Sus scrofa: one gene and its partners. The protein of the gene in region 1 purifies or fractionates together with the protein of each later gene. This does not show direct contact. Links are inferred from orthologs where the notes say so. Each region holds a gene or a part of one and is shown on either strand. Other genes may lie near its edges. The genes, in order: SMARCC2, BCL7B, DPF2, TBL1XR1, BCL7C and ACTL6A.

The links.
Region 2: the proteins of SMARCC2 (region 1) and BCL7B purify together in Homo sapiens (affinity purification with mass spectrometry; 3 studies listed by BioGRID and IntAct, counting the BioPlex papers as one, with this or other methods). This does not show direct contact. The link is inferred for Sus scrofa from reciprocal best matches to the Homo sapiens genes SMARCC2 and BCL7B.
Region 3: the proteins of SMARCC2 (region 1) and DPF2 purify together in Homo sapiens (affinity purification with mass spectrometry; 8 studies listed by BioGRID and IntAct, counting the BioPlex papers as one, with this or other methods). This does not show direct contact. The link is inferred for Sus scrofa from reciprocal best matches to the Homo sapiens genes SMARCC2 and DPF2.
Region 4: the proteins of SMARCC2 (region 1) and TBL1XR1 fractionate together in Homo sapiens (co-fractionation; 3 studies listed by BioGRID, with this or other methods). This does not show direct contact. The link is inferred for Sus scrofa from reciprocal best matches to the Homo sapiens genes SMARCC2 and TBL1XR1.
Region 5: the proteins of SMARCC2 (region 1) and BCL7C purify together in Homo sapiens (affinity purification with mass spectrometry; 4 studies listed by BioGRID and IntAct, counting the BioPlex papers as one, with this or other methods). This does not show direct contact. The link is inferred for Sus scrofa from reciprocal best matches to the Homo sapiens genes SMARCC2 and BCL7C.
Region 6: the proteins of SMARCC2 (region 1) and ACTL6A purify together in Homo sapiens (affinity purification with mass spectrometry; 8 studies listed by BioGRID and IntAct, counting the BioPlex papers as one, with this or other methods). This does not show direct contact. The link is inferred for Sus scrofa from reciprocal best matches to the Homo sapiens genes SMARCC2 and ACTL6A.

The regions. Positions count from the first base shown.
Region 1 is NC_010447.5:21,566,614-21,569,764, forward strand, and holds part of SMARCC2 (SWI/SNF complex subunit SMARCC2), read right to left. Parts: intron 3,002-3,151; coding exon 2,866-3,001; intron 2,789-2,865; coding exon 2,625-2,788; intron 1,262-2,624; coding exon 1,127-1,261; intron 1-1,126. UniProt on the Homo sapiens protein: Involved in transcriptional activation and repression of select genes by chromatin remodeling (alteration of DNA-nucleosome topology).
Region 2 is NC_010445.4:10,852,315-10,855,814, forward strand, and holds part of BCL7B (B-cell CLL/lymphoma 7 protein family member B), read right to left. Parts: intron 3,206-3,500; coding exon 3,109-3,205; intron 731-3,108; coding exon 560-730; intron 1-559. UniProt on the Homo sapiens protein: Positive regulator of apoptosis. Plays a role in the Wnt signaling pathway, negatively regulating the expression of Wnt signaling components CTNNB1 and HMGA1.
Region 3 is NC_010444.4:6,873,165-6,876,498, forward strand, and holds part of DPF2 (zinc finger protein ubi-d4), read right to left. Parts: intron 3,236-3,334; coding exon 2,841-3,235; intron 1,558-2,840; coding exon 1,476-1,557; intron 1-1,475. UniProt on the Homo sapiens protein: Plays an active role in transcriptional regulation by binding modified histones H3 and H4. Is a negative regulator of myeloid differentiation of hematopoietic progenitor cells. Might also have a role in the development and maturation of lymphoid cells.
Region 4 is NC_010455.5:115,338,229-115,341,728, reverse strand, and holds part of TBL1XR1 (F-box-like/WD repeat-containing protein TBL1XR1), read left to right. Parts: intron 1-174; coding exon 175-316; intron 317-3,287; coding exon 3,288-3,351; intron 3,352-3,445; coding exon 3,446-3,500. UniProt on the Homo sapiens protein: F-box-like protein involved in the recruitment of the ubiquitin/19S proteasome complex to nuclear receptor-regulated transcription units. Plays an essential role in transcription activation mediated by nuclear receptors.
Region 5 is NC_010445.4:17,546,163-17,550,345, forward strand, and holds the start of BCL7C (B-cell CLL/lymphoma 7 protein family member C), read left to right. Parts: upstream 1-1,383; 5' UTR 1,384-1,573; coding exon 1,574-1,665; intron 1,666-2,236; coding exon 2,237-2,315; intron 2,316-2,653; coding exon 2,654-2,762; intron 2,763-2,861; coding exon 2,862-3,023; intron 3,024-4,183. UniProt on the Homo sapiens protein: May play an anti-apoptotic role.
Region 6 is NC_010455.5:117,618,915-117,622,414, forward strand, and holds part of ACTL6A (actin-like protein 6A), read left to right. Parts: intron 1-1,518; coding exon 1,519-1,580; intron 1,581-1,970; coding exon 1,971-2,085; intron 2,086-2,231; coding exon 2,232-2,312; intron 2,313-3,500.

The DNA of each region.
Region 1 (3,151 bases):
TTCCGACAGGTGCCCACACCAAATCTCAGTCTTGTGTTTGGCTTCCTCTGTCCTCCCCCAGCCTACCCCCTCAAATCTCCCCGCCAGGTCCCTGGCTGCCCACCTCACTGCAGTGGGGTTAGTTTGGTGGTAACTCTTGTTCTTTTCAGCTCCAAAGCTTTGAATCTGTCATTACTTTAATTTGGAAAATGCTTCTACTAGTTCCTCTTGTCAATTCATGTTCTTTCCTTCCTTCAAAACTGGAGGAAGGCTCATCATCCTTAGGAAGCCTTCCCAGATCAGCTCAATAGCCTCTGCCCTCTTGGCTTTTATTCTGTTCTGTCTCAGGATTTGTGTGTGTGTGTGCTTTTTAGAGCTGCATCCACAGCATATGGAGGTTCCCAGGCTAGGGGTCGAATCAGAGCTGCAGGTATCGGCCTACACCACAGCCACAGCAACACCAGATCCGAGCCACATCTGTGACCTACACCACAGCTCATGGCAACGCCGGATCCTTAACCCACTGAGTGAGACCAGGGATTGAACCTGCATCCTCATGGTTACTAGTCAGCTTGTTTCCACTGAGCCACAATGGGAACTCCTCTCAGGATTTTTATACTTGATCAGAAATCTCTTAACTTGCATCTGTGAGCTATGTTGAGCATTAATTGTTTTCAATGTCTCCATATTGTACACTTGATGCCTCTAACTAAGGAGATCAGTGTCAGAGACACTGTCTTCTATTTCTTTTATATTTTCTCAAAATCAACACTTTATCCTTCCCATTTCCTTTCCAAGTTCACCTCCTGGATCTGGAGCCCTTACCCTCTCATGATGCCTTAAACCTGTTCACTCAACAAATCTTTACGGACCGTCTACTATTGGCCAAGCACCGTTCAAAAACCTGGAGACACAGCAATCAAAGAACCGACTAGAACCTGGCCCCAGAGCTGACACTGGGGACTTGGGCTCCAGGCTGTACCTGTGGGTCACCTGTCCTTAACCACCTGGGCTACTCTGCTCTGCTGTGAAGCCCTGTCAGCCTCAGGCTCTCTGCACTGCTGCTCCCTCCATCCTAAACAGAGGGCCAGCTCAGCATCAAGGTGGGACCCTGGGCTCCTCGGACTCCGCTGGGGACACAACTCACCGCTTCTCGCTCCCGGTCCATGATCGTCTCTAGCTCCTCAAAGTGCCGGAGTTTGATCTCCAACTTCTTCATCTGGGTTTCCACCAGCAGGGCCACCAGGGATTTGATCTTCCTCTCCTCAACGGCAGCCAAGTGCTAAGAAAGGAGGGGTGGGCCAGCGGTCAGCAGGAGGACCCAGCTGAAGACGCTCCAGGCAGAGAAGGGTCGTGCGGAAGCGGGCAGGTTTTAAGAAAGAACTTGCTGTGGTCACAGCGCAGAGAGTAACGTGGGCTTGACTGATAAGTAGAGGGTAGGGACAGGCCCAATAGCAGAGGCTTAAAAAAGCTTAGAGAAGGAAGTGCCCATGGGGCACAGCAGGTTAAGGACCCAGTGTTGCTGCAGCTCTGGCACCGGCTGCAACTGTGGTGCAGGTTCAATCCCTGGCCTGTGGACTTCCACACGCTGGGTGTGGCGATTAAAAAAAAAGCTTAGATACAGATGGCCAACAAACACATGAAAAAATGCTCAACATCGCTGGTTATAAGAGAAATGCAAATCAAAACTACCATGAGATATCACCTCACACCAGTCAGAATGGCCATCATTAATAAATCCACAAATAACAAGTGCTGGAGGGGTTGTGGAGAGAAGGGAACCCTCCTGCACTGTTGGTGGGAATGTAAACTGGTACAGCCACTATGGAGAACAGTTTGGAGATACCTTAGAAATCTATACATAGAACTTCCATATGACCCCACAATCCCACTCTTGGGCATCTATCCGGACAAAACTCTACTTAAAAGAGACACGTGCACCCGCATGTTCATTGCAGCACTATTCACAATAGCCAAGACATGGAAACAACCCAAATGTCCATCGACAGATGATTGGATTCGGAAGATGTGGTATATATACACAATGGAATACTACTCAGCCATAAAAAAGAATGACATAATGCCATTTGCAGCAACATGGATGGAGCTAGAGAATCTCATACTGAGTGAAATGAGTCAGAAAGACAAAGACAAATACCATATGATATCACTTATAACTGGAATCTAATATCCAGCACAAATGAACATCTCCTCAGAAAAGAAAATCATGGACTTGGAAAAGAGACTTGTGGCTGCCTGATGGGAGGGGGAGGGAGTGGGAAGGATCTGGAGCTTGGGCTTATCAGACACAACTTAGAATAGATTTACAAGGAGATCCTGCTGAATAGCATTGAGAACTTTGTCTAGATACTCATATTGCAACAGAAGAAAGGGTGGGGGAAAAATGTAATTGTAATGTATACATGTAAGGATAACCTGACCCCCTTGCTGTACAGTGGGAAAATAAAAAAAAAAAAAAAAAAAAAAAAAAAAAAGCTTAGAGAAGAGATGACCGAGTCTCCCTCCCTCGACCAAAAGGCAAAGAAAACAGGTCAGCACTGTTTAAAGGATGACAAGGAGGGATTTCTTGCAGGTGATGTGAGATCAGAAAAGGGGCATCTCCTTCCTTGGTCCCAGGGCCTCACCTTGGCCTTCACGGCGGCAGCGGCCAGGGCGGCAGCAGCAGCGGTGGAGAGGTTGCCCTCGCCGATGTCCCGCTCCACCTTTGTCTTCCTTTCCCCCTCCGATTCCACCTCCTTCAGCACTTCCTCCTGTCCTTCCTTGGGCTCCTTCTCCTTCTCAGGATCAACTGGGCCAGGAAAAGGGGGGGTCAGTCCTACAGCCTCGCTCCATTCCTGGACCCCAACCACCACGCTGGAGGCTCACCAATCGGGTCCCCATCACTCTTCTCTGACTCCTTCTCGCTGTCACCTTCTTTCCCTTTCTCGTCATCCTTCTTGGGCACCTCGCTGGTCTTCTCCTTTGCTTCTTCCTCCACAGCCCCAACTCCTTCTCGGGGTTCCTGGAGCCCCAGGGAAAGGAAAGGGGAGACTATTAGGGAGACTGGTTTGCATACGGAGGGCCCAGACCAGGACCTGAGCTTATGCCCCTCACAAGGAAGGCGACCTGGCTTCAGGATGCAGCCCCATCCAAACCCGGCCCTGCCAGAGCT
Region 2 (3,500 bases), on another chromosome or scaffold:
TGGAGATAATAGCTGCCATTTCATAGGGTTTTTGTTTATTTATTTATTTTTATCTTCTTAGGGCCACACCCATGGCATATGGAGTTTCCCAGACTAGGGGTTCCATCAGAGCTACAGGTTCCGGCCTACACCACAGCCACAGCAATGCCAGATGTGAGCCACGTCTGCGACCCACACCACAGCTCACGGAAACGCCGGATCCTCAACCCACTGAGCGAGGCCAGGGATCAAACCCACAACCTTATGGTTCCTGGTCGGATTCGTTTCCATTGTGCCACGATGGGAACTCCTCATAGGGTTTTTGAACAAGTCATATCAGGCATCAAATATGAAAAGTGCCCTCCTTACACAGAGCCTGGCACTTGATTGTGTTGCTATTTTCTGTTTCATTCTGTGAAAAGGAAAATACAACCATTCCCCACAATAGCCCAAACAATTAACAAATGGCTTGAAGCTGCCGGCTCTATCGTACCTTCTCTAACCTGTTACTCAAAAGAAACATCAAGAGCAGGAGGCAAGGCCCCTCCAAAACGTGCATCCTGGGCCAACAGTGACTCACCCTCAAGGATCTCCTGGCCCAGAGTGGGAGGCTGGGAGTCATCTGTGCGGAAGTCAGAGGTGTGCGCTGGGCTCAGCGACTCGCTCTGCTGGGGGCTAGGGCTCGAGTTGGTGCTGCTGTCCACCTTGAGTTGATAGACATCAGACACAGAACTCTGGTTGCTGTTTTCATCTGAAAACCAAACACGACAAAGGCAACAGCTAAGGGTGATCATTTTCGAGAGTAACTCAGTACAGAGCCACGGGCCTGGTGTCTCTCTGTCGGCAATGTGGACACAGCCAGGCTCACAATGACCGTGGCTGCAAATGGCCCCAAACCAAAGGTGGACACTCATGGGCCTTCTGAGCACTGCCAATTATCAACTAAGTTTAAGCTGATTAGATTTTGGGGGGCTGCACCCGTGGCATACGGAAATTCCAAGGCCAGGGATTAAATCCAAGCCAGGGACTGAATCCAAGCTGCAGCTGTGACCTATGCCATAGCTGCAGCAATGCTGGATCCTTAACCCATTACGCCAGGCCAGGGATCAAACTCGCGCTGCCACAGAGCCAATGCTGCGCCACATCAACAACTCCCTGGGTTGACTAATTTAAGTACTTTCTTTTTTAGAACATAAATTCTAAGCACCACATGCAGCCAGAATCTTTAAGGATATGCCACATTTATATTTCAGGAATGTCAAGATATGCTTATTAATCACTTCTTTATTACCCACCAATGATAGCTGGGTCCTGGTATTTTCGCACTGACCAGTGACGAGAGGGACATGGCTGTGCCTCTCGACCTTTCTCACAATAAATACAAGAGGTGCAGAAGACGATCAAGGCTGGCTCCCATTCCCGGCTAGCTGAAGGAAGGGGGTGGTGTCTGGAGGGGGTCAGCTCAGCCCTTTCAGCTGCCCAGGCTCCACTGACTGCCTCAAGGACCAAGGGACCCCACCTGGGAAGCGCTCTCTGAAGGCTTAAAGTCCCCACCTAAGTTAAAAACAGAGCCAACGATTCCTTCCTCTCCCTCACCTCCAGCAGCCAGTCACCAAATCTGACCCATCCGCGGGATGCTCTGATATCTCTTGTGTTTCTCCCTCCTCTCCTGCTGCCTTGGTTCAGGCCTCATGATCACTGGCATGGCCTCCTGCAACAGCCACCTGACTGCCCTTCCTTCAGCCTCAGGCACTCCCAGTGCACCTCACACCATGGCCAATGACCTCTCTAAACCCTTCTGTGGTGCCCTGCTGCCTACGAGATGGCCTGCTCCCTGTCACAACCTACAAGCTCCTTTCTGATCTCTCGCTCACTGTCCGCTGCTCTTCCATACGCACCCTCGGCTCCAGCCACGCTGGACACCTACCTAAGCGCGGTTTCACGCAGAGGCGTCCAGGAGGACTTGCTCCTTCCAGCTTTGCTGCAAAGCCCCTACACCTGCCACCATTCAGCTCAGGCATCACTTCCCCTGCAGGGCCCTGTGACCCAGGCTCCCTTGGGTGGCAATGACCACGCTCCCATCTCTGCTCCTGCTGCATCCTGGGCACACCTGCATTAACTGTTTCACACACAAGGCTCCTTCCAGGACACTCTGTGCTGGCAGACTCTGTGGCTTACTGGTCCTTGAATCTCCAGCACAGTCCTCAGTAGCTGGCACATAGCAGGAGTTGATGAAACGCTCACTGAATGAACAGGATGAGCTGTGGCCCGACTGCGGAAGCAGCGCCTCCTGGGTCTCCCAGAGCGTCACAGTGACGTGCTCCCTCACGGGGCTAGAGAGCCTGTCCCCAGTCTTCTCTTCCTCCATCACCACGACCTTCCTTCCTCTCGGAGCAAAGAAGCGGATACCTGGTCACGCCCAGGCTCGTCCCGAAGAGACAACTGTAAGCCCTTGCTAGTCTTTATCCGAGAAAGATCACTGCCTTCTATATAAAATGCAAGTAGCATTTTACTATAAAAAAGAATAAAGCGCTGTCACTTTTAAGCTTAAGCAAACACTTTTCTTCTCGGAGCATCAGTTTCCTTAAATAGGGATGACGATAACTGCCTGCTTCATATCACAGGCTGATGTAAGGATAAAAATGAGAAACTGAAGTGAAAGTGCTGCATGAACACTGCCAGCAGGTGTACAAGGTAACATGAGCGCAGTGCTGACTCAGGCCAGACGTCTAGCGAAAAGCAGCTTAGGAGGCAGACCTTGGACTAAGAGTGGACGGGCAGACGCCTCGGCTCTGGGGGCCTCTACTCTAAGGCACTCCGGAAATACACAGTTTAAAGAAAAGAGCTTCTGACCCAGAAAACCAGGACCTACCATGGGGTCTGTCACTTACATGCGATGTGACTTTAGATACATAACCTCACCTCTCTGAGCCTCAGTTTCCTTAACTGCAAAACGAGGACACTGTCACCTCTCCTGCAGGGCTATTTTAAATGAAAAGACTCACATAAAGTGCCCAGCGAGATACCAGCAAAACAGCAGGCACTGAAATGACACACAGACTACTCTTCTGATCATTAATGGGTTATCTAAGTTTTTTCCTGCGAGGAAGACATATGGATGCAACTCACCCTGGAATTCAAGAAGGAGAGAGGAATTGGCTGAGGCATCAGAGGGAAAGCCATTAGGTTCCCGGGCTGCTGAACTGTTCGATTTTGACTTTTCTTTCTAGAAAAGGAAAAAAAGAGGAATATGACAGAGCCAAGCAGAAGACCCACAGAGAGGGAAGAGGTGCTGAGACACCACAGAAGTCTGGATCAGGAACAGGAGGACGACAGTGGCTTCAGAATCCGGGACCCAAGGAATAACAGAATACTGGACAAGGTGTCCCCAGGCCCCAGTGTCTCTATCAGTGAAATGGGCCCTTCCAGCACGAATATCAGGAATCACAAGTGAGAGGCAGAAACGTATGCTTCCACTAGAGCTCCCTGTGGCACTCCTCTGCTTTCTGCCCTGAGCAGAA
Region 3 (3,334 bases), on another chromosome or scaffold:
TGGCCTCACTCAGTGGGTTAAGGATCCAGTGTTGCTGTGAGCTGGGGTGTAGGTCACGGATGAGGCTCAGATCCTGTGTTGCTGTGGCTGTGACATACTCTGATTCGACTGCTAGCTTGGGAACTTCCATATGCTGAGGGTGTGGCCCTAAAAACAAACAAAAACCCTCCCTTAAAAAAATGTAAAAATCACCTTAAGCTTTTGAGCTATAGATACCAGCTGCAGCTAGGTTTGGACAGCAGCTCACAGTTCGCTAACCTCTGACCTGGCGCGGAGACCATCTGATGGTTCCTAAGTGGTGTGCCTCCCAGCTGCTTGCAACTCTCCACCACCTCAGTGTCTAACTGTACTGCAGTAGGAAAGCCATTCTACAGTAAGTTCAGAATTGTGTCTGTGAAGTGACATTTTATGGTTAAAAACAAAAACACAAAACATACTACTTTTTCCCAAAGTAGATTTATAACTTGGCATGACAGGCAAGAGCTGAGTGCTCCCCTGCAGCTGCCAAAGGGTCCTCAGACTTTGTCAGAGGCCTCCTCCTCTAAGGGGTGACAGCAGTCTGACCTACACTCCAAATCAGCTCACATCACACAGGAGCCGCTTTCTCTCCCTGTAATGCTGGCCCACATCCTTTGTCATAGTAACAGCTACTGTGAATTTCTATAAAGAAGGAACTTTGGCACTGAAATCTGGATGGGCTAAGACTTGCAGGGAGGCAGCTACTTTTTGGTGCCACCAGTGGTTTCATCAAAGATCTTCCATAAACTTGAAGCATTATTAAGCACCAGAGGGGCCGTGCGACTCATTCAGGCTCCAGGTTCAACTCCCTCTCTAGAACTGGCAGAAATGAATCAAACGTGTCAAGTCTGGAATGTTGAAACTAAAGTTTCACATCAAACAAACTATGAACTGAGTTTCCAGGACTGGTTGGAGGAAAACAAATTTCTCCTTCTAGTAATCTTTCTCTGCTCAGCATGTTTTCCCTTAGGCTGTTGATTTTTCTGTGTTTGTAAATATTATCTGGCGGTAACATACAAACATTAAACCCTCAAAGCTGCAATGCTAGGAAAGCACTCTGAACTGAGTGAAAGCAAAGTGCCTACTCTCTCATCTGGAAGAACGTATCACGGATACGAGAACTCATTTCATGTCAAGTATTTTCCAAGTGACTAAAAATAACTGTTCTGGGAGTTCCTGTCCTGGCTCAGGGGTTCATGAACTGGACTAGTGTCCGTGAGGATGCGGGTTTGACCCCTGGCCTCACTCAGTGGGGTTAAGGATCTGGCATTGCCATGAGCTGTGGTGTAGGTTGCAGACAGGGCTCGGATCCCTCGTTGCTGTGGCTGTGGTGTAGGCTGGCAGCTGTAGCTCCGATTTGACCCCTAGCCTGGGAACCTCCCTATGCCAAGGGTGTGGCCCTAAAAAAAAAACAAAACCAAAAAAACTGTTCCGAATAAGAGATCCAGGAAACATACCCTCAGGAGGCTCAGACATAGATGGGGTGAGACAATACATGTGGTAGCCACGATCGCAGTCATCACAGAAGAGCAGCTGGTCCTAGAGAAGGCAAGATGGAAGAGGAAGGGGGAGGTGAATGACCAGTGGGCCTCAGCTGGGCCGTTGGGGCTGGCTAGGAAGGAGGGCTTCTGAGACACTGCTGCTGCTTATAGGAGGGGTGGGATGGATGGCAGGTAAGAACAGACATGGGATTCTCTGGACAGAAAACCACAAGACAGAGTGACTGTCATTCCACCTGGACCCCCCCTCTCAGCTCCCTAACTGATCTCATGGTCTCCACAGTGTTCCCTTCAACCCGTTTTCCACAGAGCAGCCAAAGTTATCTTTTTAAAATATAAGACAAACTACATCACCCCTGATTAAACTCAGGCCTGATGGTGCCTGCCTTCCAGTCTTGTCTTTTACTTGCTCTTCCACTGCAGGAGAGCTCCTGCTGGCTACAGTGGTCTCAATCCATTTGGCGTGTCCACCTTTAGGCCTTTACACTTGCTGCTCTTTCTTGGGAATACTCTCCTCCAAATCTTCTTGGACTATCTTCTTTGTATCACCCAAAGCTCAAAACCAACATCACCTCCTCAGAAAAAGGCCGCGTTCCCACTGTGGTACAGTGGGTTAAGCTCCAACTACAGAGGCTCAGGTTCGATTCCCGGCCCAGTGCAGTGGGTTAAAGGATCTGGCGTTGATGCAGCTGTGGTGTACGTTGCAGCTGTGGCTCAGATTCAGTCCCTGGCCTGGGAACTTCTATGTGCCATGGGTGAGGCCATTAAAAATCAAAAGAGGAGTTCCTATCATGGCTGTGGTTAACAAACCTGACTAGGAACCATGAGGACTTGGGTTTGATCCCTGGCCTCGCTCAGTGGGTTAGGGATCTGGCTTTGCCGTGAGCTGTGGTGTAGGCGAAAAATGCAACTCAGATCTGGAGTTGCTGTGGCTGTAGTGTAGGCCAGCAACTACAGCTCTAATTGGACCCCTAGCCTGGGAACTTCCATACGCTGTGGGTACAGCTCTAAAAAAGACAAAAATAAAACAAAATAAGATCTGGCTGCCTAAAAGTTATTCAGTTATTCCCTGCCACACTACTGGTTTCATTTTCTTCATGGAACATCATAAAAATGTCACTTAACTTTCTTGCTTATTGTCTGTTCCCACAAGAATGTAAACTCCATGAAAGCAGGACACCTTTTCTTTAGTGTCCTCAGTGCCTAGAACAGCGTCTGACACCTGCCTAACAAATCCAAGTTCCCACGGGTGGAGAGGACAGTAAAAGCTGAGGAGTGTGCTGGGGGCGGGGGCGGGGGCGGGGGCGGGGCCGGGCTACGCACGTCGTTCTCAGAGGTGCCGCAGATGTTGCAGCACTTGCACTCGATGCACTGCCAGCGGTAGGTCTTCACTGCTGCCATCATCACAGGCGTGAACTGGAGGCAGGACGGATGCCCTGTGGGGGAGGGATCGAGTGAGAGGCAGCCAGCAATGGGGAAGAAGCAAGGTGACCCTGGCTGACTGTGACAGCCACTGGACACTGGCAAGCCACGAACCCCTTGGGCACTGGGTGCCGGCTGTGGCAGCCCTGGCCCTGGATCGGAAGTACCTGAGCGGCCACAGTCAGAACAGGACACCAGCTCCTCGGGTTGTCCTGTCTTCTTGTTGATCTTCGAGTCCCCCAGGCAGAAGTCACAGTAGTTGTTGGGTAGGGCCAATCCATCGGGACCCTTCTTGGCTACAGGGAGAAGGGAGGAATTCTGATGACGCCCATGTGGGCCTCTGGGTCTCTCAACATCCCTGCAGGCTGGCCGACTCCTGCTTGCCCCAGCTCTGA
Region 4 (3,500 bases), on another chromosome or scaffold:
TGGCCCCCAAAGTGGAGACTGAGAAAAATGTTGGAAATGGAAATCTCTGATAGTCTAGTTTTTTTTTTTTTTTTTTTTTTTTGCCTTATTAATAATAGGATGTAAATATGTTGCCTTGATTCTGGAATACTTGAGAATATCATGAGGATTTAAAATATATTGCATACTTTATAGGTCTGGAGACTCAACAGCAAGAATATGGAATCTTAGTGAAAATAGCACTAGTGGCTCCACACAGTTAGTACTTAGACATTGTATACGAGAAGGAGGGCAAGATGTCCCAAGCAACAAGGATGTGACATCTCTAGATTGGAATGTGAGTATTACTGTATTGTCCATGATGGATCTAGTTATTAATATACTGAACTTCTCTGAGCCTCAGACTTAAGACAGGGTATGTCTGTTTGTTCAGTTACTTTTTGGATTTCACTGACTAGTAAGAACAACAAACTAGGAGTCCCCACCTCTCTAATGTGTCAAAAACAAAGACTGCTCAAGCAAGCAGGCCAAAGTTCATCTTCCAGCTCCTCAGTTTATCTAGCTGCAGAACCTTTGCATATAACTGGTCTATCACTCTGTGCTTCACTTTCCTTACATGTAAAGTATTAATGTATGTATTAATGGTCCCACATAAATGAAGTAAAAATGAAAATCAGTAACAAGCACATAGTAAATTCTTAACTACTAAGCCTTTTGCTGGAGGTATAAGGGAAATCTGTACAATAAAAACATATTCTTCTTTCTCTTATTTAGCTGAGAACTGATAAAAACTTCTTTGCCAGCTGTCTTTTACTTTTACTGAATCATTATAAAGTTATAATTTTGATGTCCTTCCCAGACTATCACCCCACTCCATCTTTAGTCATGTACATCTATTGGAATATAGGAGACCTTAGCATGCAGTTGGCAATGAAGTTTTCATCAGGAACTGTTTGTCTAGATGTCTTCCAAGCTGCATTCTAGCTGTATGAATCTTAACATTCTCTAATTCTATATATTATTCAGAATCTTTCTAGGATAACTTGACTACTCTGATTTACTAGAAAGTTTTATTTCATTATTGATAAAGCTTTATCCTTTCAGTTTCAGATATATGATTTTTTTTCTTTTAAGAGCTGCAGCTGTGGCATATGGAAGTTCCCAGTCTAGGGGTCAAATTGGAGCTGCAGATCCAGGCTGCATCTGCAACCTACACCACAGCCCACCGCAATGCCAGATCCTTTAACCTACTGAGCGAGGCCTGGGGTCGAACCTGCATCCTGAGGGATTCTAGTTGGGTTTATTACCGTTGAGCCACAGCAGGAACTCCTCAAATACATGATTAACAGCTTTGTTTGCAGTCCCATTATTAATTTGCAGGAAATCACCATTTTTAAAGTTTCTGTATCTTTCTCTTTATCCCATGTTGCCTTTTTCTTCCTTGTAACTTTACATCAGTTTCTTAAACACCACCCCCCACCCCAGTTCTGAGAAGCCTTTCAGACACCAGTGTTACTAAGAATTTTTAGGGTCAGCTGTCCTTTCCTTAGCAAGTGGACATCTTCTCCTTCTCTGGCCTCTGTTTAACAACTTTGTGGGGCTTTCCAAAGGATTTTCCAAATCTTATTCCAAGAAATGAGCTCTATCTTTAAACATGATTACTCTATGAAATTCTTCCAGAACTCATAGGTAAGATTTTTTAATATTCTTTTCTAAATTTCCAGCAATGTGTTTATTCTTCCCCTGTATAAATTTGAGAATTCTAGAAATGAAAAGAAGTTTAGCACATTTCAGTTATTACTTGGTCGAAGGGTCAGAACTAAGAATTGTCTTCTTAATATGGTACCTAACTATATCATAGATTAAAGGCCTTCTGTCTTTCTTAATCTGTTTGTCTTGGAGGCCATGTTAATTAAATGAAGTTTACTGATTACACTGAAAAGAATGGTTAATAAATGGTATGTTGAACTTGGTGGTTCTGAACTGCAAGTTAAAAGTTTTTTAAAGTGTGGACTTTTGAAGATTTATTTTCACTACAAGCTTAAATCTTCCACTAAAAGGGGAATATATTACTGTTGATTAATGGCTCTTTTCCATGACTAAAGCAAGAGCCTGTGAAATATCTGATCTTTAAAGTGTTCTTTTCCTACTTTAGTGGTCCATGATCTTAAAACATTTGGGGACCATTTTAGAAGGAAACTTTCCATTGTTCCGAGTCTGAAATTAAGATTTTGCTGTTGGCTTCAGCATTGCTGCTTCTTCCTTAGGGCCTTTTCAAATCCTAGCAAATCTCAGTCTACAACCCATAGAACCAACATTCGTTTGCCACTTACCTGTACAGGTAAATGACTTGAGGTCTGAAAAAGGTGACTGTGTTTTCAATACACTTACTGGAAAGTATCAAAAAGTACAGAGTAAGGCAGGCTTGCATTCTCTCTCTCTCTCTCTCTCTCTCTCTCTCTAATAATGTTTACTCATCCGGGCAATAGTCTGTTTTGTGTATTCTGTCACTTGTACTTCCGTAGAATAAGTTAAGTGTGTCCTTGTGTTGTACCATTAATCAAGTAAGGCACATGTAAGGGAATAAGGGAATATAGGATTAGAGAAATTGGTATAGATTTCTCCTCATAGTAGAGTAGTTCCAGGCAACTGTACTTACTTCATTAACTATAAAGTCAGTCTACACTCTTTTCTGGCTCTTTTTCTTGTGTTGCTGTTTTTATTGTAAGGATTTCATATTGGGAAATAATTAAGAAAGGAAAGAAACATTCAGTGATATTTAAGTATCTGATCATCTGAAACAACAATATTATTTGGAACACACACAGACATACAGACACATAGTTTAGACAATAAAAGATTTAGAGGGAGGTCTTTATAAAAACTTCTAATCGTAATGAAATATTTTGAAAGGGTTCTCTCTACTTTTCCTGAATCATTATAAAGTTATGATTTTGATGTCCTTCCTAATCCATCACCCCACCCCCATCTTTAGTCACGTGCACCTATGGGAATGTAGTAAACTTTAGCATGCACAAGAGTGATGTTGATCCTGCACCAGAGCAGTTGCTGCCATTCTTGAGATTTTGACATGAGGCTCACATCATGACTAAATGCTGACAAAATTCTACAGCAATGAAGGGTTTTCTGTAGGCCTTTCATGGCTCTTCCAAGTAGGCAAAGCTGAAGGTTTTGAAGCAGAGAATGTCACAGATCAGCTGTACCTGGGATTTAAACATGAAATATTCTGATAACAATTAAATGTCCTTTCTGGATTTTTTAATTGAAGAAGTATGTTTCTCTTACAGAGTGAAGGTACACTTCTAGCAACTGGTTCCTATGATGGATTTGCCAGAATATGGACTAAAGATGGTAAATGAAGCACTTTTTCTTTTCATTTGCTATTAGTGTTGATCTAAGTTATACAGTTTAAAGTAATTTTAATGTTTTTCCTTTTGAATATTAGGTAACCTTGCTAGCACCTTGGGGCAGCATAAAGGTCCTATATTTGCATTAAAGTG
Region 5 (4,183 bases), on another chromosome or scaffold:
TCTTGTTGGGTATTTACTATGCGCAAGATGCTGTTCTAAGAGTTACATGTATATTAACTCATTCCCATGTTACAGCTGAGAAAATAGTGATAAGTGACTTGTTTGAGGTCACTGGACAAGCAGAGCTGGGATTTTACCCCAGCGATTTGGCCCAGAAATGATGTCATAACCACCTCTGAACATAGTCACACCAAAACACACAGACCCGAGAGCCACACCCTTGACACATTCACACACAGCAACACAAATTTAGAATGTCATACCTGCTGGCAAACACAGCCTCAAACAAAATCAACCAAGACACATGTATTTTAAGTAAGCTTTTCATTGACGTGCTATAGACACAGGGTAAAGTACACACATCCTATATGTACAGCTCCGCGAATTTTCCAAGAGTAAATATGCCGTGGGAACCAGCACCAGATTAAGAAACGGAATCTGACCAGTTCCCAGAGGCCCCTCTTAGCCCCTCCCAGTCCCCAGGGTGACCACTCTCCCCGGTGTTTCGCACCATTTATTGGTTTTGTCCAGAACTTTCTCTGAATGGGATCACAGGGCGTATTGCTTCTCTGACCTCTTTCACGAGACGTCCCCATGTTGTGTGTAGCAGGACATCACTCTCCTTGCCCTGTCGTCCATGGTGTGAACAGGCTACAATTTATTTTCCATGGCCCTGTGGATGGGTTGTTTCTAGCCTGAGGCGCTTAGGAACAGAGCTATGGACATTCCAGTACAGGTCCCTTGGGGCTCCTACCCACGCATTTCTGATGGGTGTTAACCATCCAGGAGCGGAACTGCTGGGTCACAGGGTTGGTGTACGTTCGGTTTCACTAGAAAAGCGCCAGCTTTCCAAAGTGTCTCTATCAATTTACACTCCCCCAGAAATATGAGAGGTCCAGTTGCTCTACTTCGCCTCCACTTGGCAAGGTCTCATCTGAGCCATTCTGGAGGGTGGAAGAGGCACTCAGTACATTTACAGTGTCTGGCACGTAACTGGCCCTCAGTTAATAGCCTGTAGAATGAATGGATGAAGAGATAGTTGCAGCGTAGAACCAGGCAGCCGAGCAAGGGACACACACACACGCAAACACACACACACAAACACACACACCGTTCCAGGGTCCACCCACGCGCAGCGGTCGCACCCGGGACACAGATCCTCTCGCGCCCCCTGGCGCCCACGTGGTCTGAACGCACGGCCGCAGCCCCGCCGCGCGCGTCCAGTCGCCGAGCTGCCCCAACCTCCCTCTCGGCCGCGGGCAGGGGGCGCTGCGCGTCCGGGCGCCTCGAGGCGGAGGCGGCGGGCCCGGTCGGGGCGGGGCCGGCCGGCTTCCAGGCCTGGGCTCTGGCCGCCCGCGCCGCCGGGCGGCTCCGGGGACGGGCCGGGGCGGGGCGCGGCGGCAGGAAGCGGGGCGGGGACTCGCGGAGGCGTTGGGGAGCGAGGGAGGGCGCGGCCAACTCCCGGAGGGGCGACAGGCCGAGAGAGCGGCGCCCCGGCCTGGCGCCGAGCCTGAGCCCGCCGGACGGGAGGCGGCCCAGCCGCGGGCTCGGCCTCGGCCCCAGCCCCGCCAGCATGGCCGGCCGGACCGTGCGGGCCGAGACCCGGAGCCGGGCCAAGGATGACATCAAGAAGGTGATGGCGACCATCGAGAAGGTCCGGAGATGGTGAGCGCTGCCCCGGGGGCCAGGGACGGGCCACGGCGGGCCATTCCTCCCCCGACACGTCCACACCCCCTCCGCCACCTGTGGCCCCCAGGTGTTAGGTGTGCCCCTCTCCCCCGCCGCCCCCAGCTGCGTCCTGGATCTGCAGGGCTCTATCTCTCTTCTCCTGGCTACACCCTGGGGTCTACAAAGCGTGTTCCCCAGCCCTGCCCTCCCAGAGCTGGAACCCCCCCTTTATGCCCCGCCCCCTAAAGCTTTGACACTCCTCCCGCAAGTGTGCCCCGGGATCTTCGAGGCTGTGGTCCCAGGCCTATAGTCGCGCTCTCCATGTATACCCCAGGGGTCTGCCGCGTCGTGACCCCAGCCTATTTTTTTTTCTCTCCCTCTCTCTCTTTCTCCCGCCCCCCACCTATGCCCTGAGGTCTGCCGGGCTTCTCCCTCCAAGTCCCATTAGCCACGCTGCCGCTTCTTTTGCGCACCACCCCCACCTCCACACGTATCCCCAGATACATCCAGCTCCTGGGCTGGCTCTCTCCTCAGGCCTCTCTGACCCCGTCCCTCCACCGTCCCACAGGGAGAAGCGCTGGGTGACTGTGGGTGACACTTCCCTGCGTATCTTCAAGTGGGTGCCAGTGGTGGACCCCCAGGAAGAGGTGAGCAAGCTCCCCCACACCAGGCCCTGCATCTGGGCCACCTCGGGCAAGCCCCTCCCGGCGGCTGGCCTCCACCTCCAGTCCCCACTTAGACCTTACATGCAGCCTCGGGAACAGATGTTAACAATTATTAGCAACTCCGCCTCTTTCCCCTCCCCCGCCACCAGACCCCCTGAGTTCACGGCCTAACGCCGCCGCCGCCGCCGCCGTGGCGCACAACCTGTCGCTCACGGAGGGCCTTCTGCTTCTCTGTGCCTCAATGTCGTTATTTGTTCAGTGGGGGCTTTGCAAGCACTAACTAGAAAGCTGACTGTAACCCTTCGTCCTCTAACCCCCAGGAGCGTCGGAGGGCAGGTGGCGGCGCAGAGCGATCCCGAGGCCGCGAGCGGAGGGGCAGGGGCGCCAGTCCCCGAGGGGGGGGCCCTCTCATCCTGCTCGATCTCAACGGTATGTCGGGGATGCTGGCTGGGCTTTGGGGCAGCGGTGGGGAATGAAGGAGGGGATTGGGCGCCTCAGACCCAACCCTTTCTGCTCTTGCTCCCACAGATGAGAACAGTAACCAGAGCTTCCATTCAGAAGGCTCCCTGCAAAAGGGCACGGAGCCCAGCCCTGGGGGCACCCCCCAGCCCAGCCGCCCTGTGTCACCTGCTGGACCACCGGAAGGGGTCCCTGAGGATGCTCAGCCCCCACAGCTGGGCCAGGAGAGAGGTAGGACCAGGTGCCTCCCAGGAACCTTCTCCTCTGTGTCTTGTCCTCTCCAAGGTTGCAGCCCCCCACTTGTCCTCTGTCTGGTCCCCCTCCTGTGTCGAGTCTTCTGGAGACCATCCCTGAGTCCTGTGGAAAGTGACTGCCTTTCCTCTAGGGCCTTTGGCCTTCCTCTGGCTTCTTTGGGTCTGTAGATAACTTATCACAGATTTTCATGTAAATTTAGCTTTTGAGTAGTTAAATATCTTTCTTCCCCATTCCCACCTCCTGTCCGCTTCCTGAAGGTTGGGCCCATCTTGATCCTGTTCTCGGCTGTATCCTCGGAACACTGCGGACCACCTAGCAGGTGCTCAAGAAATATTTGTTGAGGAATAGGTAATAATCAAAAGACTGATTAACAGTCGGTGATAGTTACAGCTAATACTTACTGAGCTCTTTCTGCGTGCCCGACACCCCGCTAAGCTCTTTCCATGTTTTATCTCATTTCATCCCCACTGCAGCCCTATGAGGGCTACGATCTCCATTGAGAGATGATATACCCGAAACCCAGAGAAGCTGCCCAAGTTCACCCAGCCAGCGAGCCAGGATCTTGGGCCTGAGTCTTCATCAGCTCCTCTTTCTTCCCGTAAAGTCAGTCCCCTGTCTGATCAGATCCATCTCTCAATGTGTCTGTCTGCCTTCCTCTGCCTGCCCAGGCCCTGTCGTCTCTCTAACCCACACCCGGCTCCGGCCTCCTCATGGGTCTGTTCCCCTCCAGCTGCACCCACACAGCTACCAGAGCATGCGTTTGATGGGGTCATTTTCCAGCTTCAGAACCTTCGATGGCTCCCTCTGACCTTTGACCCCTCAGCTTGGCACTCTGGGCCCTTCCCGAACCGTCCCCTGCTGACCTCACTGTTCCTTTCCAAGAACACCAGGACTTAGGCCTCCGTTCTGTGTCTGGATCGTAGCACACGCTCGTGTACCTTTACTGATATAAAAAACCATAATTGGCATTTCTCGAGCACTCACCGCATTAAAACCGTGTTAACGGTTTTGCCTGTGTTACCTCCTTTGATTCATACACCATCTGATGTGGTAATTACTATAATTATCCCCACTTGACAGATGGGAAAACAGGGTTAGAGAAATTAAGTCACTTGCTCGAGGTCAAGATTCGAACT
Region 6 (3,500 bases), on another chromosome or scaffold:
AATTTTCTATGGCAGGGATATATCCTATTTGACAGTTTTTTACACCTAAGGATAAGTATTTTGGGGGGGGGGTTGGTACAAGGAAAAATTTTGAAGCTTATTAATAATTTCCCTAGGAGTTCCCATCATGGCTCAGTGGGTTAAGAACCCAGTTAGTATCCATGAGGATGTGGGTTTGATCCCTAGCCTCACTCAGTGGGTCAAAGGATCCGGTGTTGCCATAAGCTGTGATGTAGGTTGCAGATGGCAGCTGCAGCTCCTATTTGACCCCTAGCCCAGGAACCTCTGTATACTGCAAGATGCGGCCCTAAAAAGAAGAAAAATAATAATAATAATTTTACCTAAATATCAACGAGATTTTTCCTTAGCAACTCAGAGGTCATATGTATTTCACAACTTTTAGACTGTTTTATACTATGTCAGTCAAAAAATTACGGAAGATGCAATATATATATATATATATATTTTAAAATATATTCAGCTAATGAAATCTTGCTAAGTCTAAGCTTATTTAATTTAATTAATTTATTTATTTTTGCTTTTTAGGGCTGCACCCTCAGCATTTGGAGGTTCCCAGGCTAGGGGTTGAATTGGAGTTGTAGCTTGCTGGTCTACGCCACAGCCACAGCAACGCCGGATCCCAGCCGCATCTGTGACCTACACCACAGCTCACAGCAATGCTGAATCCTTAACCCACTGAGAGAGGCTGGGGATTGAACCCATATCCTCATGGATATTAGTCAGGTTCCTTAGCCACTGAGCCACATGGGAACTCCCTAAGCTTATTTTAAAGGATAAAACTGTTCTAAAGCCAATGTTGTTATGTAGGACTATGGTACAAGTATTCCCACTTGTTTTTTATCTCATCATTTTTCCCTGATGGTTATTTATTTTTGCTTTTTAGCGCCACACCCGCAGCATAAGGAAGTTCCCAGGCTAGGGGTCAAATCAGAGCTACAGCTGCTGGCCTACACCAGAGCCACAGCAATGCAGGTTTCAAGCCCCGTCTGCAACCTACATGACAGCTCATGGCAGTGCTGGATTGCCTACCACTGAACCAGGACCAGGGATCGAACCCATATCCTCATGGATACTAGTTGGATTTCGTTTCTGCTGTGCCACAACGGGAACTCTGATGATGGTTACAATTTAAATGTTATACAATTTAGCTTGTAATGTGAGTGTTTAGAATTGGGTTTCTTGAGGCTCAGAGACCTTGCTGGGTAGATTTATACCCTCAAAATGATTTAGCCATCCAGGTATGTGGTCCAGTTTCATTAAGAAAAGTTTTTTTTTAAATAATATTTTTCAGAGTTCCCTGGTGGCTCAGTGGCTTAAAGATCTGGTGTTGTCACTTCTGTGGCTTGAGTTGCTGCTGTGGCATAGCTTCAATTCCTGACTTGGGAACTTCTGCATTCTGCAGACATGAGCAGAAAAAAAAAAGTTTATAAAAATATAGATTGCAAAGACAAATTTCAATAACCTTGTGTCTTAACTCTTTTTTTGTTTAATCCTTAGTGTGTTATCCAAGATTTTCAAGCGTCAGTACTTCAAGTATCAGATTCAACTTATGATGAACAGTATGTTTTCTTATTTTTTCTATGAGGCTTATAATTTAAGAGCTCATTAAAACCTTCATACTAATCTTTTTAAAAATTGTATAATATGTTTGTGTGTATATATAATTGAATTACTTTCTTGTACACCAGAAATTAACACAGCATTGTAAATCAGCTATACTCCAATTAAAAAAAAAACTGCATACTTTATAAATTAGGACAGAAATTGATTAGTTAAACAAATTGTAGAGTATGCTTAACTGGTCTAAAGGTAAAAAGTTAAGAAGTACTAAATAACATTTTAAAAGAAGATTCTCACTCTGCTTTCTTACCTGTTGTTGATTCCTTAGTAGTTTATAATTCTTAAGAGGATTGCTTTTGTCTTTTGTTTAATATTGTTTGATGTTTTAGAGTAGCTGCACAGATGCCAACTGTTCATTATGAATTCCCCAATGGCTACAACTGTGATTTTGGAGCAGAACGGTTAAAGATTCCTGAAGGATTATTTGACCCTTCCAATGTAAAGGTATAAAAGCTTATTTCATAATTAGCTTGGTTTTTCCTATAAAAATCTCTATGTAATTATAAATCCTAAATAAGGTTAAATTTTTTTGGATGTGCTTTATTGTTTGAAGTTCTTCTTTGTGACTATTCGTTTCTGTTTTGTTGTAGGGATTATCAGGAAATACAATGTTGGGTGTCAGTCACGTGGTCACTACAAGTGTTGGAATGTGCGATATTGATATCAGACCAGTAAGTGCCAGTTTTATTTATGGCATAAAGCTGTCTTTCAGGGCAAACCAGTGTCCCCGTTATTTATAATTGCCATCATTTAAGTTGGCAACTTTGGCCATTGACTTTGAAGTCCATTTTCTAATAGAATATGTAAAAAAATGAAGTCCCTAGCAAAGGAAAAATGTGTAATTTTCTTTTTTTTTTTTTTTTTTTTTTTTTTGTCTTTTTAGGGCTGCACACGCAGCATGTGAAAGTTCCCAGGCTAGTTGAACTGGAGCTGTAGCCACCAGCCTACACCATAGCCACAGCAACTCGGGACCTGAACCACATCTGTGACTTACACCATAGCTCATGGCAACACTGGATCCTTAAACCACTGTGTAGGGTCAGGGATCAACCCTGCATCCTCATGGATACTAGTTGAGTTCGTTACCACTGAGCCACGACAGGAAGTCCCAAAAATGTGTAATTTTAAAGCTGTGGTGTCCAGTGTGGTAACTATTGGACACATGTAGCAATTTCAAATTAAATATTTTAAGTTTCACTTCTTTAGTTGCACTAGCCACGTCATAAGTATAGCTACTTGCTAGAGAACGTTTCTGTCATCACAGAAAATTCTTTTGGACAGTGCTGTTCCAGAATGTGGCAAGCCAAAATATGTTATTGGTGATTTTTCATGTGTGTAGTTCAGTTTTATTTTTCAGGAAGGTGTGGTTTAAATTCTGTAACTTTTACATGGAGTTTAGTGGGGTTTTGTTTGTTTGTTTTTGGCTGCACCTGCAGCACGGGGAAGTTTCCTGGGCCAGGAATTGAACCTGCCCTGCAGTTGCAGCCTGTGCCACAGCTCCACTGTGCCACAAGGGAACTTCCAACATGGAGTTTAGTTTAGATCTTCTTACCTTCGTATTTTTTGTGCTTTGACAAATTTTAAGGACAAATTCCATATTTTATACCATATAATTATTAGATTACATATTACTTAAACCCTAGATTTAATTTTTAGCCAGTGTACTGCCTCAGAATTCTTTTTGAGTTAATTTATTTGCATGGAGCGTAGTGCTAAAACTAAGGGTGTATAAAAAGTCATGTTCAAAAAAAAACTTGGGTAGTTATGAAAAATATTCCTTATTTCAACTACTTAATTAGCCAGTTGTGCTACTTCTAGGACAATAGGGTTATAAGTTTAATATAAACTCAAGGGGAAGG